2 linked regions of the Oryzias latipes genome follow. The protein of the gene in region 2 interacts with the protein of the main gene of each other region in a biochemical or structural test. Links are inferred from orthologs where the notes say so. Each region holds a gene or a part of one and is shown on either strand. Other genes may lie near its edges. The genes, in order: cebpg and CCAAT/enhancer-binding protein beta.

Evidence for each region.
Region 1: the proteins of CCAAT/enhancer-binding protein beta (region 2) and cebpg form a complex in vitro, tested with the Homo sapiens proteins (2 studies listed by BioGRID and IntAct, with this or other methods). The link is inferred for Oryzias latipes from reciprocal best matches to the Homo sapiens genes CEBPB and CEBPG.

Annotation. Positions count from the first base shown.
Region 1 is NC_019861.2:37,761,292-37,776,920, forward strand, and holds cebpg (CCAAT/enhancer-binding protein gamma), read right to left. Parts: upstream 14,459-15,629; 5' UTR 14,350-14,458; exon of another isoform or gene 14,211-14,349; intron 9,793-14,210; 5' UTR 9,692-9,792; coding exon 9,203-9,691; 3' UTR 8,486-9,202; downstream 1-8,485. UniProt on the Homo sapiens protein: Transcription factor that binds to the promoter and the enhancer regions of target genes. Binds to the enhancer element PRE-I (positive regulatory element-I) of the IL-4 gene. Binds to the promoter and the enhancer of the immunoglobulin heavy chain.
Region 2 is NC_019865.2:21,866,779-21,881,819, forward strand, and holds CCAAT/enhancer-binding protein beta, read right to left. Parts: upstream 6,535-15,041; 5' UTR 6,339-6,534; coding exon 5,478-6,338; 3' UTR 5,006-5,477; downstream 1-5,005. UniProt on the Homo sapiens protein: Important transcription factor regulating the expression of genes involved in immune and inflammatory responses. Also plays a significant role in adipogenesis, as well as in the gluconeogenic pathway, liver regeneration, and hematopoiesis.

The sequences.
Region 1 (15,629 bases), on a different chromosome or scaffold from region 2:
AATGGGAGGAGGAGAACCAAAGAGAGGAGGAGAACCAATGGGAGGAGGAGAACCAATGGGAGGAGGAGAACCAAAGAGAGGAGGAGAACCAATGGGAGGAGGAGAACAACTGGGAGGAGGAGAACAACTGGGAGGAGGAGAACCAATGGGAGGAGGAGAACAACTGGGAGGAGGAGAACAACTGGGAGGAGGAGAACCAAAGGGAGGATGAGAACCAAAGAGAGGAGGAGAACCAATGGGAGGAGGAGAACAACTGGGAGGAGGAGAACCAATGGGAGGATGAGAACCAAAGAGAGGAGGAGAACAACTGGGAGGAGGAGAACAACTGGGAGGAGGAGAACCAATGGGAGGAGGAGAACCAATGGGAGGAGGAGAACAACTGGGAGGAGCGGTTTGTCCTGTCACGTGACAGGCTAACATGACGATGCGTTGATGTCATCATGGCACCAACCAGGGCAGAAAACTCTTCAGCCTGACACACCGTGAGCCAGTCCACACCTGGACTCAACCTTCTCCACCAGGTTTGGCTCCGGCGGAGGTGGGAGTTGAGCCGAGGAGGAGGGTGGCGGCTGCATGCAGCAGAGCAGCTGAGGGCGGTTCTGTAGATCCAAAGACCTTAACCGTGTGGGAGTTTACTGCCACCGGTCTCGTTCAGCTCGTAAAAGCTGCCGGTGACGTCACCCTGCTGAACTGCAGGTCACATGTTCCTGTGAGCTCGTCTGTCAGGTGACCAGAGGGCACCTGAGGAGGGCGGTGTATGGCAGGCCATTTTAACATCAAAAGGCTAAGTTTGACTATCCGGAATGAACATTGTAGATATCAGCAACGTATTTCTGACTAGTCGTAATTACATTTTGGATAGTTGGAATTGTAATTCAAGATATCTGTAACGTAATTGTGACTAGTTGAAACGACCGATAGAGATATCTATAATTCAGTTTTGCCTAGTCAAAACTGAATTACAGATATCTGCAATGACGTCATTGAAAACGACATTCAACTCGTCACACATCTTAAATGACAATTGTAGATATCTGTAATTCAGTTTTGCCTAGGCAGAATGACAGTTAAAGATATCTCAAACGTCATCATCACTGGCTCCTCCTGTCTTGCACGGGCTGCAGCATTAAAAAGACGATTAAAAATCGCTTCGCCCGCTGGCTGCTCTACGACGGAGATTTAGGGCCACCAAAAACAGTAAAATTAAAAGATTTTAAGTCCTAAATTAAATTTACGATATTAAGTGGAAGTGAGCATGATGAGCAGCAGGTGAACGCCACACAGCAGCAGCAGACCGACTAAACTTTGTTGAAGAGGTGAGCTGAATGTTTATTGATAACGTTCTAAATGTTTGGAAATTCGTTAGTTTGATTTATGATTTATTCATGTTTTATTCATTGATGGGTGGTTTGCAGGATCTCTGCAGCACGAAGCCGTCAGTGTCCCTGCAGATGTCCACCTGAATCCTTTCTTTCTCCATTAAAGACAAGATCTCTACGTTTCTGTGACGCTTCCGTCTGTGGAGGAGCACTTTTGGCATTTTCCACGTTGTAATGCTAACATAACAGACTATTTTCATTCCTCTTTATTGTTTTATGTTGGATCGGGACGTTTCATCTGGAGGAGAGGTGTATGTAACACTGTTTACTTCTGCATTGGTGTTGGGATGACAGGTTCATGACATAAGGTGACAGATGAACTTCAGGATATGTGAATGAAAAGGAGAATAAAGGCTGCAGCGGTTCTCTGCACCCACACGTGTCTCTGAGCTCCTTATTAAACACATAAAACTCCGCTTTACCGACACCGAACCCCGGAAAGCCCGCTCCACTGACAATAATCTGATTTTGAGTCGCCAAAAGGTTCAGAATCACTTCGGTTAAAGCTATCCGGAAATAAAGCTAGGCTCCGATAAACGGAAGACTTGGTGTTTTTCTCTTTTCTTTTCTCTCTTTCCGACCGCTGTCAGAAGCGCAGGGGAGATTTCCTCCGCCGAAGGCGATTCTTCCTCGGGGTTCACTGTCCTGATCGGAACCCTAAACCTCCAGTGCGGATTAAGAACGACTCCAAAACAGTTATTCTGGGGGGGGACACCTTCTCTTTATTACGGTGCTCCGTCCTCCGAACACACAGTATCAACGCACACACCTCCGCTCCGTACTCACCCCCATCTCAGCACACACACACGCACGCATGCGCGCGCGCACACACACACACTCCACAACACTTTTATCTCCTAAATTTACGAGATAAAAGTTGTAATTAAAGAAAACAAAACGTTTTTTGTAAACTAGTCCTAAAACTCCGTCGTACTGCTGCAACATGGTGCTAATCAGTGCTAATTACAAGTTAGCAGGTGCAATTTAAATGATTACAACAACACGCTCTGCTCCTCCCCTAAAGTGCGATGCGGACCTAATTTGCATACAGATATCTGCAACGTCATTTCGCCTAGTCAAAACTCTAATTCAAGATATCTGTAATTACATTTTGACTATCCTGAATGAACATTACAGATATCTCAAGTTTCAGATATCTCTATTCAAATTTCATTTCAAGATATCTGTAACTTGATTATAGATATCTACAATTAAATTATGACTATCCCTAACTCCAGTTTGAGATATCTACAACGTCATTTTGACTAGTCACAATTCCAGTTACAGATATCTACAACGTCATTTCGCCTAGTCAAAACTTAATTTAAGATATCTGAAAAGGAACATGTAGATATCTTAAATTGACTTGAATTAAAGATATCTTTAACTTGAGTTTTGACTAGTAAGAATGAAATTGTAGATATCTGAAACTTGAATTACAGATATCTACAATTCAGTTACAGATATCCGTAATTCATGAAGTGGATATCTGCAACTGAATTGTAGATATCTGTAATTGTAAACCCCATACAAATGAATGGTGAAAGTGATGTCATTTGTCCTAGGAATAATATCTTTGAGGATATCTAAAATTACGATTACGGATAGGAAGAATGTAGTTGCGGATATCTGAAATGTTCTTTTTGACTAGGCAAAACTCAAATAAAGATATCTGCAACACACATCCAGTCTAGCCTTTTAATGTTAAAATGGCCTGCCATAGCGGTGCCTCGCTATCGCAGGGTTCAGACAGCGTGTTCTATCACAGTTGGAATGACCGAGATACGGCACACAATAAAACAAAGCGGCAGCCGCGCAGCTATCATCCACCTGGCCGTGTCCGGGTCGCCTGGAGATAACGCCGCAGACGGCAGAACAGCCCTGAAAGACCTGGAACACTATCAGCGTTTTGTTAAGACTGAACAAAGTAAGGGAGCTACCAGCAGGGGGTGCTGTGGGCTACATTTGTTAACACTATGACACTTCCTTTAAAATTCAGATTTACGTTTTTTTTTATTGTTTCCTGATGAATTCTAAATTCTGATGATTTCTTTTATTTTATGTTTACACCTTTAATAAACGGGACTTCAAAGCTGGTTTAGAAATCGTCTCACTTACTTAAAACTCTACAAATCCTAACTCCAAACATGTTTAAAATCATAACATGAATTTCATTAAATGAATAAGTCCTCTGGAAATCGTCAAGTTTCCCTTCATGATTACTTTAAAGTTTTAGAGTCCAGATCCCAATTTTCATGAATGAAATCTTCATCTGTCACTTTACGCAGATGACACTAAAATATACCAAAGACTCGACCCGGACAAACATGAATGTAGCAAACATAGTTTATGTCAGTGGAAACATTTGAAATCTAACATGCAGTTTTACTGCCACAGCATGAAAAACACTAAACATTTTTAATCAAAGGCTGATTTTTTTTTTTTTTACAGCTGAGACATTTTAAAAGGAGAAGTTCACTCGTTGGTGCCATAAAACCAAAAACTGATGATTTGGTCTTAAATGAAATGGACTTAAGATGCAGCTTTGGCCGTGCAGCGGCCCGCAGGAAGAACGTTTCTGCCTCCATGTGCAGCATTTGACCGTTCATCAATGACGGACAGGTCGTGGTCAGGGTGAAGGTCGGAACGAGACGAGAAGGAATGTGTACAAAAACAACTTGATGTGGGAACATAGGCCTGCTGGTACATCGAGATCTTCTCTTCAGACTCGGATGTTTGTCCACCACAGCAAACGGAACCACATAACCATGACAGCAGACGCACACATCCATCACACCTCACGCTACATCAAACCTTCACCTGTGAACGTCCAGGTACTTCAACTTCTGACTCGGTCCAGACCTGGAACCTTTTCTGAACCGTCACCTCAAGCATGGAGGTTACCTGGTCCCAACAGCAAACCGCTCTGAGAGAACTGGAGGTCTGTGATGATGAAGATAAAAGAACCAGATCATCTGCAAACACTGGAATTCACGTTCCGATCTTTCCCACAGAAAGTGAGAAAGGATTTTCAAATTGAAAGAAAAAAATTGTTGTTTTTACCAAAAGAAGTTTCATAAATCATCGTTCCGTCCATCTGGAACTACACAAAAACACGGAGACACTAACAGATCCACACTGAGCATGCTCAAGGTTGGCTGTGACCCTCCAACAGCTGGTTCATGGAATTTACAAAAAAGAAGTACAAACAACAACAAAAAAACACATTTACCAACACAAACACACACACAGAGCATCACAGCGCCTAGCGGGGCGGTTAAGGTCGTCTCTGACAGAAGCAGAAACAGCTGCTGCAGACACACAAAACCAGAACTAATAGACAATATTAACACAAAAAGGATCTCAGAGAAAAGGAAACTCACAAATTAATGAAACTAAACACAAACTCAGGACAACTACTTGAGTTGAGAAGAACACAAAGCCTCCAAAACAACACAAAACAGCCCGCAGACACACACAGAGTGTTGCTTTTGTAGGAGGGGTTTGTCCGTCCAGGTCTTGGTAGGCCCTCTGACCCGGTCTCCGGTTCTGAAACCGTGTGTCAGCGTTCCCGCCGCTGCGGCTCGCTGACACGCAGCCCGCGTTGATCTTGTTTACGAGTTGTGAGGCCTGGAAGCGATCAGCGGCGTGGAGAGGGCCGCTGCCAAACTCCCGCTGACGTTAACGGCCTCCGCCATGAATCCTGCTCCCATCCGCACACCTAATTCCTCCTGACAAGCCCGACCCGGCCCGTCAATCACTGCCGCTCTGATTGCTCACAGACGTCTGGAGGTCTGACAGCTGCTCCGAGAGCTTCGCCATCCATCCCAGAATAATCGCTTTCACCTTCGGCCTCCTCCTCAGGAAACATCTGAGAACCAATCCGGATCCACCAGCTGAGGTTCATCCTCTGTTCGCCTCAGGTCAGTCCCAGTTCTTCTGCTGTAACTGGATCAGCCAGAACCACGAGGTGGACCTCAGCGAAGAGAAATGACCCACCATGAAAACAACTCTGTGCAGTTCCTGGAATGACCACTAGGGTGCAAAAGCATCAGGTAGGTTCTCGTGAGAACCTTTTCCTGCTGGAAGAGGATGGAGCCGATTCATTCAGTAGGTCCGTTTCTGTCCTGGAACATGGTTCTGGAACATGGTTCTGGAACATGGTTCTGGTCTGTGTGAGCCGCGGTTAATGGGTGCGGTCTATTGAATAACACGAGGAGAACATCACCTCCTCATTCAACAGACAGATGTTCTGCCATCGACCTGACGTGTCCGATGACAGGAGCCCGGACTGAGACGGTTCTGGTCCAGTTCTTCTGTCGTTAAGCTGTGACGTCACCTTCCATCCGTCTGGTTTGGAGGCTGCAGCTGAGCGTCCGTGCACGGATCTTCCTGCAGGAGAGGCGAGTCCAGAACACGTTTTCCAGATGTTTCTGCGTGAAGAACGCTGCCAGAATCTCGCAGGAGGCCGACTTCAAGCAAATCCGTTCTGGCGTCGGAGGAGCAGGTCATCGTTCATTTTTATATCTGAAGCTTTAGAAGATTTCAGGTCTGCCAACGTGGAGCGGAAGCAAAGCATCGTGGGAAAAAAAAGAGCAGATTGCAAACTGCAGAAGAAAAAGACTGAGAGAAAGGCAGCACACACACAGAAACACACACAAATGTACAGAAACTCAGAGGCACACACACACACTCACACACATACACACACACAGAGAAACACACACACACACACAAACTCAGAGGCACACACACACAAATGCACACAAACTCAGAGGCGCACACACACGCAAACTCACACACACACACACACACAAACTCAGAGGCACACACACACACACAAATACACACACACATAAACTCAGAGGCACACACACAAATATACACACACAAACTCAGGCACACACACACACACACAGAAATATACTTGGAGGCTGGTTCAGTCCAGTCCGGTTCTGCTGGGTTCCCACAGTCCTGCTCTAGAACCGTTCCTCCTGTCTTCAGGACCTCCTGGTCTGTTCCTGCTTCAGAGGGAAACGGGGACCTTCATGACAGAGCCGTGTACCGTGTGACCGGACGCTTCTTCCACACGTCACAGCATCACGGGGCTGGGACAGACATGGAAGGGGTTTCCGTGGAGGTCTGCTTAGGGTCTGGATCATCAGGAGACGCTGGGCGGATGTTCAGATCTCGTTACAGGAAGCTGCCGTCTAATGGAGCTGCAGACGTAAAACAGCCTTAAAGCAAAGGGGGCGTGGTCTTTTGACTGACAGGAGGCTCTTCAGGACAGATCTAGTGGATGTGCTTCTATGGCTGTGGCCTCCTCCTCAATAACAGAGCAGAACCCTCTTCAAACCCTGGTCTTCCCACGTTCTGTCCGTCTGTGGATGAGGCTCTAGTGAGAACGTCAGATGGAGAACCGGGCTTTTGTCACATCACATCCTCTCCTGTGACCCGGTTCCGTCAGCCCGTATTGAAGATGCCTGGTGGCGAGGAGGTGTGCAGCCTCCAGAGATACTGAGAAGAGCGGAGCTCCTCTGATTAAATACCTGGAAGTCTGGACTTCTTATCGGAGTCGCCGCCGGGTCCAAAGGCCGGCAGGAAAACCCGACAGACGTCTGGGAAAGTTCCAGAAGACGGTTTGGAGCTCAACCAGACCCCTGCCGCTCCGCTCCGCCTGGAGGGGGCGCTGCTGCAGCACAGCTGAAAATCTACCTGCTGCTTTGATCCTGAATGATGAAGAGGAGGAGGTTCCGAGCCTCCTCGGCTATTTTTAGACCTGGCTGCAGCGGCGGCTGTGTGTCAGGCAGAGACGTCTGACCGCTCGCCAGAGCAACAAACAAAGAGGCGATGAGGTCATGGCGTCAATCATTCACTGTGGTTTTAAAGGCCGGCGGCTGGAGGTGCTTCATCACCTCCGCCTGATAACCTCGCCTCTTATCTGAGCGCACACACGGCGAGCGTCTGAGCGCATGTTCCACGCTCTGATAAGACAGTTCTGAGGCTCTGCAGCCCCACAAGAGAAATCTGGAGGTTTACGGGTCAGAACCATGAGGTTCTGGGGGGGGTTCAGGAATGTGTTCTGGAGAAACAGGAAGTCAGAGCAGAGACCAGAGAACCGGACCAACATGACCCACTTTCTGCTGCTCCGCCATTGATTGGTTTGGTACCGATTTTCAATCATTCTCTTCTGCGGCTCAATCAGTTCCTAAAACACGAGTAAAAAACACCAAAAGCTCCACAAATCAAATCAAATCAGAGTGAGAACCGCTTCAGGATCCTTAAGGAGCGCATCTCTTCAGTCTGTTGATCCTTATGATAGAAAAACTAGAACCGCTTTGCTGAAACCAGGAAGAGAACCCAAAAGCCGGGTGAAGAACCAGCTCAGCGGCCTTGTGGTAGAGTGTCCGGCCTGTGACTGGACATCCAGGCTGTGTCTCCAGCTCAGATCTGCAGGGTCACATGTGGGGAACAAATGTCACACACCAAATGTGGGACTTTATCTTTGAAGAACGTCTCTGATTGGAGGAACCAAAGGAAACTGCAGAGGAAAAGTTCAAAACACAAACATTTCACGTCCACCATCGATCCACACCTCCTACGGCCGACACAGCCTGTCAATCAAAGGTTCTGCCCACTGCAGGTGGGGTTCTGAGACGCCCCTTCAGGCTGGATGCTCCTTCAGAACGCTGCAGCCAGAGTTTGGACCAGAACCAGAAGAACCGGGACACACCGCTGCTGTTCTCCGCTCCTTCAGGGAGATAGATTCGGGTCTGCGGGTAGAACTCCGGACCAGAACCGACTCTCCCTATGGGCTGCAAAAGCGTCTCCAGGTTGACCGATCCAATTCCTTTGGTTCTCCACAGAAACGTCTGCTCCAGAAGAAGAAGCTCGTTTTTCTACGACGCATTTGTAGTTCATCAAAAACGGTTCATCTGTCAACGTCTTGTGGGCGTGGCCAGCTTCATGGAGACTCCACCTCCTTCACAGCTTTGGTTTTCGTTCACCCTAAAAACAATAACCCTGTGAATCTGAAGTGGCTGTTACCTGTCTTCAGGTAAAGGCGGTGATGACATCAGAGGTCACATGACAGAAACAGGAAGCACTTCAACTTTTACACGCACGTTTAATTTACCACATTTATGTGCTGATAGAAAAAAAGCAGAGTGACGACGAGCAGAACCGAGAGGACCTGACCCCCCCACCCCCACCCCCACAGGCATGCAAACACTTCCTGTTCAAACCATGCTGCTGCTGGAATGACGAGTAAAAAACGAGGATAGAAAAGTGAAAAAGGCTCCAGCGGGCCAGCAGCCAGGCCGGTTCTGGCTCCACTGAAGCGCGGCGGCGATCCGGGTCCGTCCACTGAGGTGTGCCGCTCAGACCTGCACAGACACGGCCCGAGCTCAGACAGAACCACACCTGCGGGGAGGGGTGCTCCTGGCAAACACCCCACACCCCTGATTACAGTGTGCGAGCGGCCCGCTGAGCCCCGCCCCCTCGCTCAGGCCGCGTCAGCAGACCACTAACGACCCGGCTGGTTTAAAGGATTTAAACAAAGCTGAGGAGTCTGGTTCCGCCCGTCTGCTCTTCAAATGAGCGGAAGCGTCCGATCATCGTAAACATGTAGTGAAGTTCTACAGATTAAAACTCTTATTTTGAAGGGATACCATAAAAAACAGGGACTTCCTGTGAGTGGGGCCTCAGTCTGTGGTCTCACTTGGACAGTCTGCTGAAAGTCCCAGGTGAGGGGGCTTGGGGTGAAAAAGCATTGTTGCCCTGGAGACGAGGCTTTTTTCCTGATGTCCCTGAAGCTCCGCCTCTCATTGGCCGTTGGCAGAAGTGCTGTTGGGGGCGGGGCTGGAGCCGCCGGTGCCGGCGGGCGGCTGCACGTTGTCGGCCAGGTTGTGGGCGTGCTCCAGGAAGAGGTCTTTGAGCACGCTCAGCTCCTTGCTGAGCAGCTTGATCTTGGCCTCCAGCCGCTCGTTCTCCTCCTTCAGCTCGTTGACGCGCTGCTGCGTGTCCAGCGCCTTCTGCTTGCTGCGCATGCGGCTCTTCTTCACCGCCAAGTTGTTGCGCTCGCGCCGCTGCCTGTACTCCTCGCTGTCCTTGTCTGCCGGGGGCTTCTTCATCTTGCTTGGGGGGAGGGCCTTGCCGCCCGCGCCGGAAGGGTTGGCTGGGATGAGCTGTGGGACCTGCTGCAGTCCGCCGGCGGCGGCCGGCAGGGCGGAGGAGGCGTGGGTCTGGCTCTGGATGACGCTTACGCCGTTGTGGTCAGCTGTGGTGTGTTTCGGCTGTGACGGCCGGCTCATTTGGATCCTCCGCAGCTGTTAAGTTGATCTCCTCAGGTGGAGAGACGGCTCTGGGGGCGGAGCGCGGCAGGGCGGGGCGGGGCGGTCCAGCTGCAGCGAGCCTGAGGAACAGAGAAGTTCAGAACCTGAGGACCGCCAATAGAGAACCCAGAAACACTTCACTTCACTTCTCTGTAACAGCTCCGCCCTCTCATGATGTTGCCATGACAACCATCTAGTGGGCCCAGTTACACATAAGACGTGGCCGAATTCCCACCCTAACGCCTATACAGAGCGTTCTCCATGTTCTAGTTTGTCTGAATCTACAATTCCAAAATCCAGGGCCCTAGAAATTTCCCAGAAGTCTCTGAAAAACCACTATGCATCAATGCAATATAGACCACAATGCATTGCGTTGGAACAATTTTTGCCAAAAAAAAAAGTATTGTTTTAATAAATCATCAACGATTCATCTTCAGAAGACAGTGGACTCATAAATCATCGTCCCAAAGAGCTCATATCTATTAAATTTAAACTTTGTGAAATCCATGACGTCATGTGTCTGAACTGCTTTTAAAATTCAGGGCTCTACAGGAGGAGTGTTAGAAAATATCCATAAGGTGAAATGTGGCGATAGTTCATTTGGTGACACTTGTATGGATTCAAATTGCTGTCAGGAACAGATTTATTTATTTATTTCTGAGCGTCCTTCAGCGTCTGCCTCTTGTTGTCCACTTCAACCTCCAACCACTAGTTGGCAGCAGAGAACATGGAGCCTCTTTGAGCAGCTCTACAAAACTACAGGAAGACCTCAGCTAGAAGCAGCTGGTTCTGTTGTTATCAGACATGAACTACTGAGTTTCTACTTAGGATGGTACCGAACAGAAACTCTGCCGTGTTGCTGCCGGTAACATAGAAAAACACGGATTGCTGTGCTTTTTAGCGGCTCAGATCAGAATAAATGAAGCTCAGCGGCTAATAGGCTAATCGGCTAAAATGCTGTCGGCAGAGCGGGTCAAAGTTCTGCAGAACCTCCCAGTATTAGATTGTAGTTTAGCGACCTGATGGATCAGAGGGATGAGAACAACGCTCTGAAAAAGATCCACGCCGTGGCGAGGAGCGTTGGTTTACTTCCGTGTGAGAAAGCGTGGCTGCAGCGGTGCAGACATGAACCAAAGCCTCTTTGTCACATTAAAGCAGCTTTCCTTCATCCGGTCCTGCTGCCTCATCATCACACTTTATTGTTTCTGGAGAGAGAGTCAGTGTGTCCCCCCACCCTTTATTTTTGAAGCACCGTTCAGGCTCCTGAAGCGTTTAAAAGTAACGGATAAGCTGGTCTGAAGAGATGGAAACCCCTCCAGAGTCTGAGCAACTGCTCATCCTCTTCAGGAGTTCTGGGATGTTTGGGACTGAGCTGCAGGACACGTTAGATCCAAAGCTGACAGACCAGAAGAACTTCGGTGGCTGAGTAACCTCCACCCAGGTTCACCTGAAGTGTGCGGCGCTTTGGGGAGCCGTGCGGCCCACACCGCAGGCGGGAAACTATCCTATTCTGTTTGGTTACATGTCAGGATGTAGATGATGATGTCATTTCTCCTGCTGCTCCTTTGCGTCAGACTGAAATTGAATCTGATCAAACTCCAGAGTGGATCTGTGAAAACCTCTCTGTCTGGGTGGGGGGTCTGCAGCATGAATGCATGCTGAAGGAACAGAAAGGGTGGGCTGAAGGGCAGAAATAAAACAGGACAGAGCCTGAAATCGTCCTACACATGACATCATCATCAGTAACTCTGCTGCCTTTAGTGCTGCCTGATTCCATCAACGTGACTTGAATTAAATCACAGATCTGATGGCGTTTCAGACAAACCAACATCAGAATATTTAACAGATGTTTGAATTTTTGTCGTTCTGATATGAAGCTCTGGACTACAGTCCCTGACAAAAGTCTTGTCGCTTCTCCATTTTGTAGAAACAAAAGCCTCACTGTTAATGAATCCATTGGTTTTAGAAATGTCTCATATGAAAGTTCATTAACTGATCAATCTTTCTTCAGTGAAGCAATTTTATTTTACCATATTGAACATAATTTGGGAGGGTTTTAGCTTTCATATGAGACATTTCTAAAACCAATGGATTCATTAACAGTGAGGCTTTTGTTTCTACAAAATGGAGAAGCGACAAGACTTTTGTCAGGGACTGTATTGTTTACAAAAGAAAAGGGCCACGCCCACTTTCTTCGTCAGTGCATTTATCTGCAAAGCTCTGCTCCTCTATTTTTGTTCAAATTTTAAAAAGAACATTTTTTTTGTTTTAGAGCAAATACTTTCCCCTCAAAATCCAGAAATGTGAGAAGTCTACGAAATAAAAGAGCAAACCAGAGAGCTCTGCAGATGAACTCTGGTACGGTTCACTTCAGTGTGAATGCAAGCTGAGGGTATAAATCCAAATCACTGAAATCCATACATCAGATGTAAAGATGCATTTCGTGTGAAAACGCCTTCAGCTGAAGATGGTGACATGTGGAGAAGCACTAAATGATACTTTTTGTAACTCTTATATTTTAACAGATATTAGGGCTGCACGATATGAGGAAAACTCGCGATATGCGATATCAGTGATTAATATTGCGATAACGATATAATTTGCGGTATATAAACAATTAGCAAAACAACCAAAAATATTATTCCCATTCCATTACAACAGCTTAAAAATTATACTACAAATGACCCTTGTTGACATAGGAGGCGAACATGCAACATAATAGGGCGCCATCCGATTAGTTAACAACGTGAAGGGGTCCATCTGATTGGTCAAATGCAGAAAGCGATTCTTTCAGTCCGTTAAACACTTCAAGCTGCCATAAGATTGTTTGGCCACATCTAAGGTAACCATTTATTGCAAATTTGCTGTCTTTTGCGATATGCATATTGCACAGCTTGAAATTGCGATAATGATAAATTTGCGGTATATTGTGCAGGCCTAACAGATATTTATTTGTTTCATGTCTTTGATCCAAGTTAGTCTGTTTACGAGTGTTTTCTCCCCCTTGGCTGGGGTGTTAGTGTCTATGCTGACACCCCGGCCAATAGGAGGACAGGCCAGACGGCGCCTTCTGGGTTCTCTCTTTTTTGGCTTTTTTCTTTCCTCATTTCTCTTTTACTTGAGTTTGTTTTTGTGTATTTAATTGTGCGGGGCTTCTTTAATTATGTAATTGCATGAACAGGGATTGGTCTTTTCTGCATTCCTATTTGTTTTTACGTACAGCACCTTCAGCTGTTTTTTTTTTTTACATGAAAGGTGCTATAGAAATGAAATTCATGTGAATTTGAATTTTAAATGAGCGTGGAAGCCTTCGTAAATACTAACGCATCTGAAGAACTTCAACAAACGGCTTCAAAAGTTCCCTTCTGCACAACAACATTGCTCTGACCGCATGGGTTCAATGGCAGAAGCTCCAGAACCATCAGGAAAAACTCCATACTAGGTTATAAAGACCACAATAAAGGGCAAACCGCGTCAAAAGGTACGGAATTACCTCAGCAAATGGTCAGGAATTACAAAGATCCCAACATTTTTGGACTTAAAAAAGTACAAAAATAAAACTAAATACTTAAAACTTTTAACTTTTCAACACTTTATTGAATTATTATTATAGCATTAGATAATATTTTTAAGTGACAGACTGAAACCATGTGATGAAGTGATGCTCTGCTGATAGTAGCTGTCAGCAGCTATTATAGTGGATTACATTCACAACAAATCATGGATGTGTTCTTTTATTTGTTGCATTGTTTTGTAGTTACATGTACATTTTAGGAGTGGTTTTACTTTTTTCTATGAATACCTTTAATTTCTCTTTATCTTAAAACTATGTCAAACATATAATCCCGCCTAACCAAATGTTTCTAGGCATTTACGATCATTTATCAATAATCCATGTTGCTTTCATCACCTCCTTTGACCCTCCCACCGAGGTGACGTTCAAAGGAACGAAATTCAGAGCCGCGTTTCTCATTGGACGATTGCTCTGATTTTAATCCAGCGCTTCGTTCTGATTGGCTGTCGCGTTGCTATGCAGCGGGTCAGCTGTGCGCAGCGAAAGCGCTTCGGGTGAGCGGCCAGGCTGGTTGCCTGCTATTGCATCATCGTCAGCGGGCGTCTTTGTGCCGACTGAGGGGAACTCCGGAGTCATGCGGGGCTCAGCATAAACCCACTTTTCAGGACACTTTGTTTAGCTTCCACAACAGACGTGACACGAGCGACACGTCAGCCGGACCCGAACACTTTGATCCAAGTCCGACACTTTCACTTCCGGCACTTTCAAACAACTTTTAGTGTCACAGAATCAACCGGCAGATGTCTCATCTCCGTCGAAACCCCGTTTTCCTTCACCGAACAGTCGAAATCAAACACCAAAATACAGCATTTAGTTCTCAAATCGGTCTTTTCACGTAGCCAGTTAGCTTCCGCTGCTAACTAGCTTTAGCCTGACCGCTAGCTCGCCGCTCCGCCTCCGTAAAAAAGCCCGAACACAGTTTACCTTCACTGGGCGTTGGTCGAGCCGACCATCCGAGGAATCGGTTATGGTTGTGGGGCAAAGTTGGAGTTTATTCCGTCGGTCTGAGCTCCGACTGTTTTTGTTTGGAACATGGAGAGGAGCGGATTGCGAAATCTCTTACCATGTTCGGCAATGTCAGCGAACAGCCAATCGCAGTCGATCCCTCCGCAGCGTAGAGGCCTCTCAACCAATCACAGCTGGACATACAGCAAGATGACGCAATGCACCGCGTGATTGGCATGCCTACAGGCCAATAGCTGACGGCCGTCCCGACGGTTTTGTTTATATAACGTGAGGCTGCTCAGATGCGTTCAAACACGTTCGACTTTACGTTAGAGATCACTCTTGTGAAACTGTGATGCCTTCAACGACCATCTTGTTAAACACCTGCAGCACGAGGCACTGTTTGTAACCGTCCTGCAACTACACCTGTTTACAGGTGAGCTCTGACACCGGACAACGAGTCAAATATAATGTTTAAAAACATAAAGAAAGCATTTGAAAGGAAAAATAAAAATTTCAAATCTGCTGTAATTTTCCTTCAGTTTGATGTTTTTTAATTTTGTTGGGTTTTAAGGCGACTTTGGTTGTGAATTTCAGGGGAAGTCGCTTAATGTGAGTCATTTTTCCTCTCAGTTGATTGGCTCACTGCCTCAGGATGTCCTGCACAGGAACACAGCAAACAGACCGAAAGGTTTGTGCACCTATCCACCTGTCGGTCTCCCGCTCCATCCGTCTCCCGGTCTTAAAGGGTTTCAGAGTCCAAACTGTGGGTGGAGGTGACCCCAGGTTTCTCCAGGCACTCACCGTTCGGCCTCCCGCACAGGTTTTGGTTCTTTCCAGCTCACTGAGGCGACCCTCCATGTCTTGATGGCTTGAATCCATCACTGGAGGATGGGGCATTGAAGCCCCCGTCTTTGACCACTCCCCAGGTCCCACAGGACTGGCCCTTGTGGTTCTTCCTGTGAGTGGTGGGCCTACGTGAAGGCGGCTCATGATGTTGGATCACCAAAGCTCTCATCACTAAGTTATGGTGGAAGATGAAAAACCAGAAAGAAAAAAACAACAACCAGAAAAGTAAAAAAAAGAACTGAGATATTGTCAAATGAATTGAGATTGAAGTTCCTGTGTGATGTTAAGTATGAGACTTTGGGATTTACTCTGACAGTTTGAAGAAAATCTGCTTGGATATTACAGTCAGGACCATAAATATTTGGACAGAGACACATTCTTTCTAATTTAGTTTCTGTACATTACCACAGTGAATTTGAAATAAAACACCTCGGATGCCATTGAAGTGCAGACTTTCAGCTTTTATTCCATGGGTTGAACAAAAAGATTGTATCAAAATATGAAAAACTACAAAAAGAAGACTGCATGAAGGTAGATCCAGAGGGAACA
Region 2 (15,041 bases):
AAGTGTGGTAACCAGTGCAAAGGTCAGACAGTCTCCAAAACGTAGGAAATCTTTTTGCAAAGGTCCTATTGCAAGGACTTTTGCAGTACTGTTTATGAAGGGGAATCAGAAAGCTCTCACTTTAATGCAAATACTTTTATTTTAGCACCTTAAGGATTACCAACTAAACCTTTATTGAACAGGGTAAAACAGGACACACTTTTGGAAGGACAGTCATTCATTTTCCTAATAAAACAACCGCTGATGTTTTAAATGTGTCTCGCTATGAAGAAATTCCACAAAGATCATGCATTAATAAACTGTCTCTTTCTTGGATGCTAAGTTTCTCTGTCTTCTTTGGCAACTGATTATCTTGGCTGCTAAGGGGTAACAAGCATTTCGTCACAGGATAAAGATAATAACTCTGAGGTGGATCCAAATCCCCACTGCAGGATTCTGCACAACTTCATGATCTGGCAATTTTACAGGTCACAAGTTCAGAGTATTTCTTTAAAGACCCACTCTGATGAAAATTGTGTTTCATTGCTTTAAGGATGGAGGACATTTATAAAGAAAAATATGCTGAAAATTGCATTTCTGAGATTTTTTTTGTATTCAAATCGTTGTGAATCAGGAGCAGACGAAAACTGCAGTTTGAAGGTTGTAGTTGTGATGTAAAAATAATAAAAAAATACAACAGGATGCCTCAAGCTCCCCGCTCTGCTCCATTTCAGTGCATCTACTTACAGACAAATAGATTCATTGGCTCAAAACTGAACGACTGGATATCTACACCATGCTCACCATAATTGTTGCACCAGTAATGTTAGCTTGGAGTAGTGGGAGGCTGTAAGCTGGCTAAAAGTGTCAACAAAGGGATGATGGGAAGTGGGGACATGCTTTACTCTGTGACAGGAGTTACACATTAGAGGTAAATTTCTAATGAACGCCTTCTGCTCTGCACAAGTTTGAGTTGGGCTAAAAACTGCCTAATCATAATTGAGAGACCACTGAAAATAGATGAAAAGATATTTAGAGTGGCACTTATTTCCTCTGTAGGTCATCTGCATTTTGCTCTAAAAGGATCACTTTTTAGTAAATGACTAATACTGATGTTCTTTAAAAATAAAAAAAAGTGTATCAATCATTAAAAACATCCAGGCAGAAGTTTAAAAACTGTTTGAACTTTGACAGGCAAAGCTAGAGAGTTGATGGAAATTAGATATCCTGTGTGTTCAGGAGACCAGATGGAAGGAGAACAAGGCTTATAGATTGGGAGCAGAGTTCAAGCTGTTTTTATCATGATGTGGATGGAAAGAGGAACAGAATGGGAGTGATCCTGAAGGAGGAGTTTGCTAAAAATGTTCTGGAGTTGAACATGGGGTCAGATAGGAAGATGAGTTGAAGGTGTGATGTTGGATGATGTGTCTTATGGTCATCAAGTAGGATGTGAGCTGGAGGAGAAGGAGAAGTTCTAGAGGGGAGAGACCAGTGATTAGACAGACATTAATGGACGTGTGGAGGAGGGGGGGGGGGGTAGATGAGGAAGTGATAGTGTTCAGGAGAGGTATGCAGGAGGACAGATGGTGGTGAACTTCACCAAAAGAATGAAAAAAAAGGAGTGGCGAACATTTTTCCAGAAAAAGTGAGGCGCATAGGGTGATACAGGAGGAACATCTAAAGAGGTGGAGGTTTGCTGTGGAAAGGAGAGGAATTAAGATCAGCCGCAGAGAATCTGTTCATAAATGAGAAGAACTGAAGTGGGAAGGGGGAAGAAGGTGGAGGATTTAACGTTCTGAGTGTCAACTGTCCAGAGGAACAGAGAGTGTAGGAAAGATGTCTGCAAAGAGGGTTGGAAGAGTGAAAGAGGGTTTTGGGTGTGATGTGCGACAAAAAGGTCTTAGAAGAATGAAAACAACAGCTCATGTTAGGTTTTCTGGAGATAAATGCAGGACAGCAGATTGAGATGGTTTGGACACACTGAAAAAAAGGGACAGTTGGTCAAAGGATGCTGAGGTTGGAGCTACCAGGAAAAACCAAAGCGGTGCTTTATGGATGCAATGACAGAGGACCTGATGGTGGTTGGTGTGAGCAAGGAGGATGCAGAGGAGAGGGTTAGATGGAGGCAGATGATTAGCTGTGGCGAGTCCTAAAGGGAGCAGCCTAAAAGGAAAAGGCGATGAGGAAGCAAAAGAGGGAAAACTGGTTAGTCCTGTTAGTCTTTAGACTTGCATAGATTTATTTGAGTGCCTTCACTTCTGCAACAACCTATTTATTAAGATGACATGTTTTTGACTGCCACTTCCTTGGATTCATGCTAGGGGCTGTGTTTTTCCCCAACTGAAAATGCACAGTGCTTACGCCATGGATTATTTTGGTTTGCTTCCACATTTTAGTCAGCTGGAGAGTCCATCTGCGTTTACACTTTTGCTGAAACACCCCACAGTACACTTGCTAGTGAACCATAGACCCAAATAACCGGATTATCAACTACTGCCCCTCTGCAGAAACTATATCATAGAAATCGACACAGTTTTTTTATTTAGAAATAAAAATTAAATAAACGTAAATAAGAAACCACTGGGAAGGATTTTCCAATAGATTAAGATGATCGGAATGGGACTTTAAGGGGATGTTAATTGGAGTTCACTTGGCTCACTTCAACATTGTTAAAAAAAAACAGCTTTTGGGTGGGACAAAGTAAACATTGAAGTTCTGTTGGTTTGACCCTAAAGCAGCTTTGGTAAATGGTAAACTTATTTAGTGCTTTACTGCCTTCATAGAATCAAAAAACATGCCCCCCCACCAAAAAAAAAAAAAAAAAAAAAAAAAAATTGAGCTCTAATAAAATCAGAATTCTTTTATTCATACCTTTCTCATTTGTCACAATTAGCAAAAAATCTTACTGTTACTTTTGGTGTAAGTTTTGGCTTTTTTAACAGGGATTTCAATGGAAAACTGCTCTCCTCTGTAACCTGCCCCTAGTGGTTTCAAGAGGTACTGTCACATATGGTACAGCGGGAGTGGAATGAGTAAAACGTAAGGTGGAATTGTGAACACAGTTAACTCGTTTGATCAACATAAGAGTAAACTTTCACACCTCCCCTAAAAACCCAGATCACCTGAGGAAACAAAATATGGTACTGACCAAACAGCACATTGTGAAAGTGCCCAGAGCTATTTTCTGAACACTGTTTTAAATATTTGGGCTTAAGTTGAATAATAGACTTTGTTATCTCTGTGTAACTCCTGAACAATGTGTGAAAAATAAGATTGTGTTTATAAATCACCAAAACAAAGCTTGAGGAACTTCTTCATTCATCTTAGCATGACTCAGGGGAGGAAAAGTTTCTTCTATTTCGTAACCAGTACAAAGCGGACAAAAGGATGATAGGTGTACGTGTGTGTTGCTTTATTGGGAGTTTTTGTTTTTAGGGACGATTTTGGAGGGGGGGTTGTGATGCAATGAAGAGTTTACAGATAGACACTGCCCATTGCCAGTAAGATGTGGAAAGGAAGGCTGGGCTAAACTCTCCAGAGGTCATCCTGTATGGGAATTTCCCTCTGGCCTGTCAGCATGCGAGCTGGGAGCAGAGGAGGCCCGCATGCAGCGCCAATAGTTAACAAGGGGTCATCGAAGAAAGAATGCCTAGAATGTTTGAAGCCAAGACAGGCCCGTTGAAGAAAACCGCAGGAGCAGCACGGCGAGCCAAAAATGTTTCTCTGAAACATCCCGCTGCTTGTGTGATCATTTCAAGACTGAGCTTACATTTTACACTCAGCTAAAAAAAATGTGTTCTTGGTTTTTTACTCAGTTTCTTCTGCCCTGTGAGGCTGAAACCAAACCACAGCTTCTTACAGCTATTGTAAGACAGACAGAGGATAACAATGTCGTATTCAAGCATCGCTCTTCTTGTGGTGATGTGTTGGAAAGGGAGGATGTTGCATAATTCTAAAGCTAAACAGTTTATCATTGAGTGTGTTGAAATATCCAAAATGTCATCTCTCGCTGCACAAACAGCAAAGCGCAGTTTTCAGGCTTCTTTCACTGAACGTGCGCTGACTTTTTTGCGGCTTTTAAAAGAAATTGTGATGCAAAAAGGAGAAAAGGCTGCACACGTCTCTTGTTTATCTGCTCCGTCAGGGGTGTGCTTGCCTGATACGATTCAAACCAGTCAAATACATTCTGACGGCCTGGAAAAATTCCACCACTTGTGAGCTTATCTGCTCCTTCCACTTTAAAGGAAACTTTAATGTTTTCTTTATTTCAACTTTGGTTTAAAATATAAAAGTTTGCAAAGGATTAACAGGCATCTGTCACGTCAGCCAGGTCTCTGCTGCCTGAGCGTGACCTGAAATGGTGTGATGAGGTTAGTTGTTGATTAATTTCTGTGCAACCTTGAACCCCTCTCTAGGCCAGTGGACCCAGCAGACTATTGACAGAGCCCTGTGCTAAAGATAAAGCCAACACTTCTGTGCTGCGTGCAGCGACCGACTCTTTTCTGCCCTCTCAGCAGTATCATTTCAGCATAAATGGGTTTGATTTATTTTAGGACCCTTGGGAGAATGCGTCAATTATTTAAAATAAACAGAAACGAAAATGAACCTGTTTAAAAAGAGGAAAAAAAAGAGTGTGAGGAGTTAGGTTGTGTTTTGTGTAAAAGGTTATCTGCAAGAGATGTTTGTTTTAAGTGCAATTTGACAAAAACCAATGACTAAAAAGATTCCAAACTATATTTTTTAAAGCTTTTTAACTACAGAGAACTATATTTTCTACTTTATAATGAAATACGTATGATTAATTAATAACGTTTTGTGCAACAAAGGTTCAAATATTTAAAGGCCTGTAGGATTCTTTTCGTGATTTGTAGTTTATTTTACGCAAACCTGGATTATAAAAACAGCCGTTTTCCTCAACGCAATATGCTGTAACGGATTAAGTGTGAGTCTGAGTGTGAACGCCCATGTCTGTGTGCCTGTCTGCACCCTAAACCTGCGGAGGAAAGGACAGAAAAGAGCGTGCAAATTCCTTTAAACAAAGTATAAATCTATTTAATCCAATGTCAAGTACAATTAAAGCATTTCACCTTTTTAAATCTTAAATAATTAGACTTATTTCATTCATTGCCAATACTATTACAAAGAGTTGCATCATTTCACTGCAGCACAACTCTCCCCGTTGACAGCCATTGCTGCAGACACACACACACACACACACACACACAAAAATCTAGAAATTCAAGGGTATGAATGTATGTATGTAAAACCTGCACAGAAATACTGCATACACAAACATTACATGTGAGGAAAAAGCCACAGTGACATGTAAAGAGTGGTGAACGGTTGCGCAATCCATGCACCCACTTGTTCAGTCTTATTCAGTGTCCATTGTAAACTGGGGATGGCCGCCTTCACCTGTGTACCGTTTGGATCACCGTGCACTCTCCAGTCCACTTGAGGGAGCGGCACAGGGGGGTTCTCTCGTGGGAGGGGGGTACCTAACATTGTCCAGTTGCTGAGAGCAGGTTGCGCAGCGTGGCCAGCTCCCTAGACAGCTGCTCCACGCGCTTTTGTAAACGGTCGTTCTCCGCGGCCAGTTCCAGCACTTTGTGTTGAGTCTCCAAGTTGCGCATTTTGGCTTTGTCCCTGCTCTTCCTCACGGCGAGGTTGTTCCTCTCCCTCCTCAGCTTGTACTCTTCACTGTCCTTGTCCAATCGTTTTTTAGACTTCCCGCTGCTCCCCTTGCCGCCGTGAGACGGTGACCTGCCTTTACCTGAGGGCGCAGGTGTGCCGGGCGGGCTGGAGCAGGTGGAGGACGCAGTGGAGATGTTCCCCAGACTGCTGCTGGTGGACTGGTAATGAAGATAGGACCTCATGTCGAACCCGGACGAGCCGTTCTCCATCTTGGCGTCTTCCAGGTTGTCGTCTCTGTCGGCGGCTGCGGCGGCGGTTCTGTAGCGGCTCAGTTCGGGGCTCAGGACGCTGTCCGCGCGCGTCTCCTGCAGCTCCGAGTAGCCCAGCGAGTAGGGCTGCCGGGGGTCGCACTGGCTCGACTCCAGCTCGCCCAGCAAAGAGTAGTTCCTGTAGCTCTGGAGAGCTGAGACTCTCTTGATCTTGCTCTCCGCCAGAAAGTCAGAGTACGCGTCCCCCTGCGGCTGCGTCTGCGCCGCCAGCTGCGCGCAGTGGAAGGCTGGGTCCAGGTAAACGCTCAGGTCTATCGCTCTCTCCCGCTCCTCAATGCCCAGCTCCGTCATCGAGTCACCGAGCCGCCAGTACGAGCCGCCGACGATGGGACTGATGATACCGTCTCTGCCGTGGATAGCAAAGCTTCCCTCCTCGTACAAGCCGGCCACTTCCATGGATCTGCACTCCCGCCGGACTGCAGGAGCGGGCAGGGCTGAGGTGAGGCGCCCCGAGTTCTTCAAGTTCAGCTGAGTAACTGGAGAAAACGTGTCGGAATGCAGCGAGCTGAAAGCACCCGCGTCACTTCATGTGGCAACAACAAGAAGCAACTTTTTTTTTCTGTGGCGGATTGGGAGGAATTGACAGACCTTCCTGTCTCGAGAGGGTTTTATTCCACAGCGCGGGGGGCGGGGCCTAACAGGGCAGGTGTGACGAGCGGAGCCTGTCAGCGAACAACCTGTTCCACTTTGGAGAACGTTTCCCGCATTCATCTGTTTATGTCGGGACAAACGAAAACCTGAACTTGACTTGTTGTCTATTTAAAGTGAAGTCTTTCATTGTTTGTCAGTAAGCATCAATACAAGTTATTATAAATAATTACTTTGCTCCTTTCTGGACACATTTCCTTAACTCCTGCAGCAGAAAATCACATTCAGTTGTAATCAAAACATCTCTGAACACATTATTTCCAAAACAAAAATGAACAGTTGTGGAAGTGATGCACACATCCCCATCCATCACTGTGCTGGTTTGTGTCAGAAACATTTCACTGTCGTCAAAGACAGATGTGACTGTCTCGTGGGATCAGTGTTATCCCACAACATGACTTCAAGCATGACCCAATGACTCACAGCAAGAACAAAATAGAAGCCTCTCCTGGACAATCATGAGGCCCCAAAAATAAACTGACTCTGAATAAGATCAGATAAGAATTACACGTTTGCTTTAAACGTGCACGTAGATTGAGAAGAAATACCTACAATTTATTTATTGGTGAGAAACTGGTTTGCAAATTGGGATTTACTGCCACCGTGTGGCTAAGAGTATTTAGAAAATTACTTGTCAAGCACTTGTCAATTTGGTGCTTCGAGCATCTTTTGCATATTTTAAGACACGTGTGTGACATTTCTTGTGTGATTTGCTGAAGAAAACAGAGGTAGTCACTTTCCATTTGAAGTCACCATGACTTGCATGTTAGGAAGCGGTCGGTGCAGAATATCATGACAAGACTGTACTGGAGAGAAAAAAAAACTCCAAATGGTATCTAAAGGCTTTTAACATCAGGCCTGGCTGATGTTTGAATATAATCGCACATAAATCAAAGGGATTAAATTGATAATGTATACATTTTTTTGTTGTTTGAGTGAAAAACCTTTTTTTTTGGCTTAAGTTTAATTCTTGCTCCATTAAAACTGCTTTGAAACAGTTTGAAGTTTTCCCTTTGCTTCCAACTTTTCTTCGATGTTTGCATTTTACTTTCAGCTCCCTGTCAGGCAGCTCCATCAAACAGAATGACAGATGACATCTGTAGTGCCTCCATGGGAGTGCTCCCTTCTCTTCCTATAGCGTCACATACAGACAACGTTTTCATCTGAGATGTCATTCTGGATCAGCATTCAAATTTTTCCTGTGACATGTTACACAAAAACACGTGACTTTGATGCTGCACATTTCTGAGTAGGGGTGCAATGATGCATTTTAACGGCGATTTGATTCATATCATAATTTGTGGTTGCTGCTACGATTAATAGTTGATCCGACTCGATGCGATTCACTGATCTAAATTGATTCAGGACATCTGCAACCAAAAATTCAACCACTAATACTTGGCACTGAACAGTGTTCAAACAGACAAACAAACAAGTAAAAAAGAACTAATGGATAATCCTTTCATAAGTTATAAAACATAAAGTTCAGTCCACTGTTGTTTTTCCACCTCAAAATAATCCAAAGGGAACATTATGAGAACATTCTACCACACTGCATGGTCACATGTGTTTGCTAAATTCAAAGTGTTTCCTTCTCCTCTGAGATGAATATATTTCACTATATCTGCTACAACTGGGTGTTTTTGACCTCACGCTGCATATTCGTGCAAATCAGAGACACTTGTGAGTGTGGAACACTATTTTTCGGCTTCATTTTTCGTTCACGTACCTGTAAAGGGCATTAAAGTGGAAAATATCTTTGTGCTGATGAACTGCCACTGCAACATTTTGATTCAAAACATTTCCTGACAGCTTATTTTTGCTTAACTTTCATTTTAAAAAATTGCCCTCTACTACTCTTTCAACAGAAAAACCACAACTTCATTTTTGACCTACTTTGAAAGGCTGATAAAGGAAACCATTTAAGGTTTGGAGAGAATTGTCTTTTTTTTAACAGTGCTTTCTCTCACTGAAACATCAAACTTTGTAAAGGAATTTGAACTGCAGGCCACAAAAACATTTCAAATTCATGAACCTTCTCATAAAGTGGATTGTTGGTAAACTGTTGAGCTCATTGAATGCTTCCCTGAAAAACAACTGACCCTCATTTGCTTTATCTCTGCTTCCAGTCACAGCACTGGGGTAACTTAACACCTGAATGTTAAGAGAAGTAGAGTACATGAACTAATTATAAACTATTTTTTCTTTTTCTTTGCATTTCTATCATGAGTGCGTTGGGCGTTACTGCCAACTAAGTTATCTGTGTTTCAGTGTAAAGTTTTGACATACTTAAATCTATTTATGGGCTAACTTTTTAAAACAAAGGTAACATTTTTGGGGTTTTTGTAATGTTTGTAATCTTAAGATCAACCAATCACTGAGTCTTCACATCACCTGCACCAATCAGATCACACCTGCATCACAGAAGGTGGAAAGTGTATACTGGGAACAGGACAAACTTGAAATACTTGAAAAACAAAAATACGAGAAAAAAAAAAGGAACAATAAGGCAAAGTTCCTGTGGTGTGTAAAGAAAACAGAGGAGCTCCTGTGATCGTCTTCTATGTACTTTTCGTTTCCTGTAATATTTTTACTTCTTACCTGTATATATGTATTTAAAATTAATAATTGGCTTTATTAAGGACTCATTCATTTTCTGAACCCATTTTGTCCCTTTCGGGGTCACGGGGCTGCCGGAGCCAGGGGACATCCTGGACAGGTCACCAGTCTGTCACAGGGCCACAAATCACACACCCATGCACACTCACATTCACACCGAGGGACAATTTAGAGTAACCTATTAACCTATGAAGCACGTTTTTGGACTAGTAAGGACTAATCAAGTAAAATGATCCATTTTGGACAGTGACATTCTTGCCTTTAGTTATCATCATGCATCTATTCTGTTTGGTTGTGGTTCAATATTGTGATGTTCTCCCACCAACAGAGGGCGGTCGACCCATGATCGTAAGATTGCAGGTTCGATTCCCGCCTTGCACGCCCATGAGTCAAAGTGTCCTTGGGCAAGACACTGAACCCCACCTTGCCTCTGGTGGTAGGGCGGGCGCCTGTGTTCAGCAGCGGAGCGGCCACCAGTGTGTCAATGTGTGTGTGACTGGATGAATGGGTCTGTGACTGTACAGCGCTTTGTCCTTGTAGGTAGAAATGCGCTATATAAATATACGCCATTTACGCCAGTATCAAAGCTCAGACACGCATGCAGACAGGAAAAAAATCTGAGAGGATAGTGAGCATCGCATTTTACAGCTGAAGCTAATCATTAAAATCGTAAGTGGAGATTTCACTGCTTCCACTTGAGCTCGTATCTGCTCCTCAAATCTCTCTTTATAATGTGTAAAAGAAGATGTGAATATGTGTGGACCTCTGATAGACTTGAGTTGTCTTCAGGGGGTTCAGGCTTAAAACAGCAAGGATATGCTTCTTAATGAGAAAGAAAGGATTACAAAAATTGTCAAATGAATCATAAATAGTGAATTTTGCCTTTTTAATGATGAGAAATAAATTAGAACAAATTGTGGCCAATTGTGCTCATATTCTTCTTCAAAGTCAGCCATGAGAGAGAGATGTGCAAAAGCACTACTAAATTGCCAGGAGGTGGCGCTAATAACAAATTCTATCAGATATGAAGGTGTTCAAAGCAAAAAGTCTCCAGTAATGTTCATTTGTGAGTTTTCTGTTTGAGGCTACCTTAATTTTAATTACTAGACAACCAAAACTTAGCCAAAAGTGTACAGAAAAAAGTGCACAAACTGGAATCAAAGCACAAGTTCACGCAGATTAAGGATGATTCCAAATGAACCTGCTTGGCACTTCCTGTTGCTTACCTGTTAGGCCTCATTTTTAAGGGCTACAAAAAGCTTTGCAGGAGTTGGATCAGCTATGACTACACATGATGATGAACTTATTTTGTATCTTGTAAATAAGAAATTAACTTAACCAATTACGTATTCCCTACAAGGATTCCTTAAAAGCCAAGAGGGAACACTTCGGTTCAAATTTGCAAACATGCCAGATTAATACATAAAATAAATTGGCAGTAGATACGCCACAGAGAATCAGCCATCACTGATCTGCACAATTGGTTGGGCAGAGTGTTTTACACCAGATGCCCTTCCTGACACAACCTTGTATTTTATTCGGACCACAGGGTCCCCAGCCTGGACTTGAGCCCCCTGCGTCTGCATAACCCACAATGGATGCTGGGAAATGAATCCTGATTTCCCGCGTGCCAGTCTTACACGCAGCCAACCGGGCCATCCAGCCGCTTCCAGGTACATAAAGCGACAAAATGACAATGACATTTTTAAAATAGTCTTTACACCTTTAATACAAATAAGGCTTAGTACATCTGTATATTTTGTATATCAACGAGTTCCAATATTTAAGCCTTTTTATTATTTATTTTGGTAATAGTAACTTACATGTAACAGTTTTCCAGGAAAAGATCAATGGCATCCTGAACAAGGAGGGAGACATTGAAGGTCATTGCTAAAGAGTGTGGTATGCAAGTGCAGTAATGGAAAGCTGAGCAGAAAGACAAAATGTGGGATAAACGGTCTGCATTCCAAAAAATACAACCAGTTTCTCTTGTGGTATTTTACTGGAAAGCCCATTTAATAATTTGAGGGAGATTCCAGGAGTGCACTGCTGCGTAACAGTCACAGCACACAGACATATCCACAAACTTTGACATCTCTTCTTTTAGTCCAATCTTTAAACAACATCAGATGTGTCTAATCTAGGCAAATTTATCGACTAAGAACTGGACTGTACCCCAATTATTTAAATTTCTCTTTTATGAATAAATTACTTTTGCCTTTCTTCTGAAAAAAAAAAGACAAACAAACAACATCATCACAAATTTAAGATGACTGAGGTCCATTGCAAAGGTTCCTCAGTCTATTGTGCTTTGGAACTCGTGTTTAATCTGATCTGAGGTCAGGGCAACCCTCTCTTTGGTCCAGGTACAAGTTCTGAAGCATTTTAAGTTTCCATTTACAGATTTCTTTAAAGGCCTATATCAACCTTTTCTTAAGTCTTTCAGAGCAAAATATATTCATATTTATGATCATATATTACCTCTGGAACACAAACAAACAAGTTGTTTGTGAAATATAAGTTATTTTTGAGAACTCTTTTCCTACCCTGAATAAAGACGACTTGAACTCTGAGACTCCGCCTTTCACTCCTTGTGGATCCCGCCCATTTCATGACACCAAGCTAGAGCCCTTGACAGCGTGCCTGCGTTTTCCCTGAAAACAAATATCCACATTTTTCAAAGATGGCTGTGCATATTGTCCAACTGCCTTAATTAGCCCCAGCGTTTATTCCAAATATTTGGCAGCCAATCCTACATTTATTAGAGACCGGTGTTTCTTCCATCACAGATGCCGGTGTCGGCTAATGGGTTCATATTTCTGTGAAATTTGGTCACAAAATGCCACCAGATGAACATTTCAGGATTTATTGATTGATTAGAACATTGTTTTATGTTCTGGTTAGCACTGGATGTAAACGTTTCTTTTCTCTTTAAAGCCTCAACAATCTCCGTATCAAAAATCGTCTTTGCTTCCACGTGGATCATTTTCCTGGAGAGGTGCACATTTTTCCGTCTTTGCTCAATAATCCATGTTAAAACAAGTTCTTCTATTTCATCGCTCGCTTTCTTTGTACCTCCACCAAGAAATCGTTTGCTCCCTTTCCATAGCCGTCTTCTCAATATCATCCATCTGCTCGTGCCATTCTCTGAAACGTTTAGGATCCACCCCAAAAGGGCCGCGCAGATTCCTCACCAGACTGTTCTTTGGTGTATGCCACCACGCGAAGTTTAAACACTATTTCGAATGCGCGTTTCTTGGCCATCGCTACTCTGGCTTACAATACAAATACCACAGCCTCCCCCACGTCTGCACGACCTTGCATGACCTGGTGGAGGGGAGGTGTCTTACAGGAGCCCGGCCACTATTAGAGACCAACGTCTAAAGTAACTAACACCTACCTGTTAGACCAGGGAAATATTATAGATGGGACACAATTGATAGAAATACTTAAATGCAAAAGTTCTGCTGATCACCACTAGCTCTGCAGAGAAAGTGTGTGTTTTTGTGTCAGCCTGGGGGTGGTGCTGGCAGTGCAGACTCTTCCTGGAAGAGGCTTTTCTTCACTTTCATAGGTCACAATGTCAGGACCCGTTTGTTTTTGTGTGTTGGGAGGGGCTGGTGCTCAGAGAGCAGGTTTTTAGACAGAAAAATGGTTTATAATGAAGAATGAACATTGTAAAACACATAAAAGCTCAAAAAAGTGGAATTTGCATGTTATCTTTAAATGACACTGTTTTCAATGTGAAAAGATGCCAAGGACTGCAGGAAAATGAAACCAACTTATCATTTAAAGGACCTATCCCATGCAAAATCAACATCTCTGACCATTCCTCTAAAAACTTGCTCTCTGAGCACCACTCCCTCCCAATCCACAAAAACAAGTGGGTCCTCACATTGTGACGTATGAAAGTGAGGAACAGCCCCTTCCAGGAAGAGTCTGCACTGTAACTACCACACCCAGGCTGACACACAAACACACACAAACACTTTCTAAGCCGAGCTAGTGGTAATTGGCTAATGGCTTTCCTTTTATATGCACAATATTCAACTCCATCTTTGCAAAAGTTCAGATGCTGTTTGCTTTCATGGGGGGAGACACTGCTGAGGCTGGCTCTAGGCTGACGTCATGAAATGGGCGGCACCCACAAGGAACGTAAGCCAGGGCCTCAGAAATCGAGTCGTCTTACTTCGGGGTAGGAAAATAAACTAAAATAATACATTTCTTTTAAAAAATCATTCTTAGAGTGCCAAAGGTGATATATTGTCATATTTAATAATATAGATTACTCTGAAAGACGTCAGAAAAGCATGATATAAGCCCTTTAATGTTTGGGGACCGTAGTTTCCCTGTCTTATCATGGCCAGCAAACTCACATTAAACACCATCTAAAATCTATGTAACTGTGAAGAAGAACATAAAACCCAAGATCCAAAAATGCAGAAGAACTTAGGGACACCAGCACAGAAACCTAAACTTTCATGACATCCCATAGACTCATCTCCACCATGCTACGAACACAGCTGTGATTAATGGGTCTAAAATCTTTATTAGTTCTATGAAAACGATCAAGAGCACTAAAAATATGTTAGTTTGCATGTGACAAATCTAGAGAATAAAGCTGTGTAACCTTTTGAAATACATAACTGACAGAAAATGTACTCTAGATTATATTTTCATTTACAGCATTGCACAAGAAGGGTGTTTATTTTTCTCAAGAGACTGGAAATGTGGGCATCCGTGAAATAAGTTTATAAGCAAAATTCAGAAACATTCTCCCATTGAGAGTATTATTATTATGAATAATATTTACCCATGAGACAAGCAGTTAAGCATATTTTGATATTCATAGAAATATTTTGAGCTGAATGGAAGCACAGCATGAAATAGGGAGGTTTCAGGAATCACACAGAAGAAGAAGAAGAAAAAACTTTAGAAAGAGGACCCATAATTTGGTGTCATTTTAGTCTGTTTACTCAAAAGTGTAAATGGGAGCTCAGCCCTGTACTTCTCAAAAAGGGGATAACTTTTGAGTTGCAGAAACTGATATGCCTTTTTGTAAAAGGATGTTTAAATACAATGAAACAGAAAAAGAAAGTTCTTATAAAAGAGAGCATCATCCAAGTATGAAATGAGCTAAAATTTGAGTTTGAGTTTGGAGGTGTGAAGCTGCTCAAAATCCGCAATGAGGAGAGCTTTGGGTTCAAAGCTGCACACTAACAAAATGTTTTGCATCCTTTTCAAAAATAAATTAATCTTAATATTCATTGATTAAACTCAACTTACAACACCACCCAAACTCTAGAACATGGGAGTTGCATCAAAGGCTTCAGGGTGGCTCTGCTACAGGAGAAACTTGTGCTCCTGGATATTTTGATGGCTTTCTTAGGACAAAAAAAAAACAAAAAAACAATGATATTCAGCTAATGACCTTACCCAGAAGTTAAAATTTGAGAAAAGATGTCCTTTAACAACAAAACAACCCAAAACACACGTGACGAGTTTGAGGACAACAAAGAAAACAGGTGTGGTCGGTTCCACGAAAAACAACATTCAAGAATATAGACAGAGTGAATCATCTGTACTTCAATGCTTTACTGCTAATTCCACTAAATTCTAACCATATGCAGCTTCTGAGTTCACAGAAAAAATAAGAAAATTTTAAGAGAGACTAATTGATACCCAGAACAGCTATATAACCTTGATGTTCTTATTTTGGCATTAAACAGAAAAGTCAGTTTGCTACCAGGGTGTCTTCAAAGAAATGGTGACTTAGCATTTTTAGTAAGTACTAAAATTGTTAGCATTTTGTGTTCTTTTTCTAACAATTTA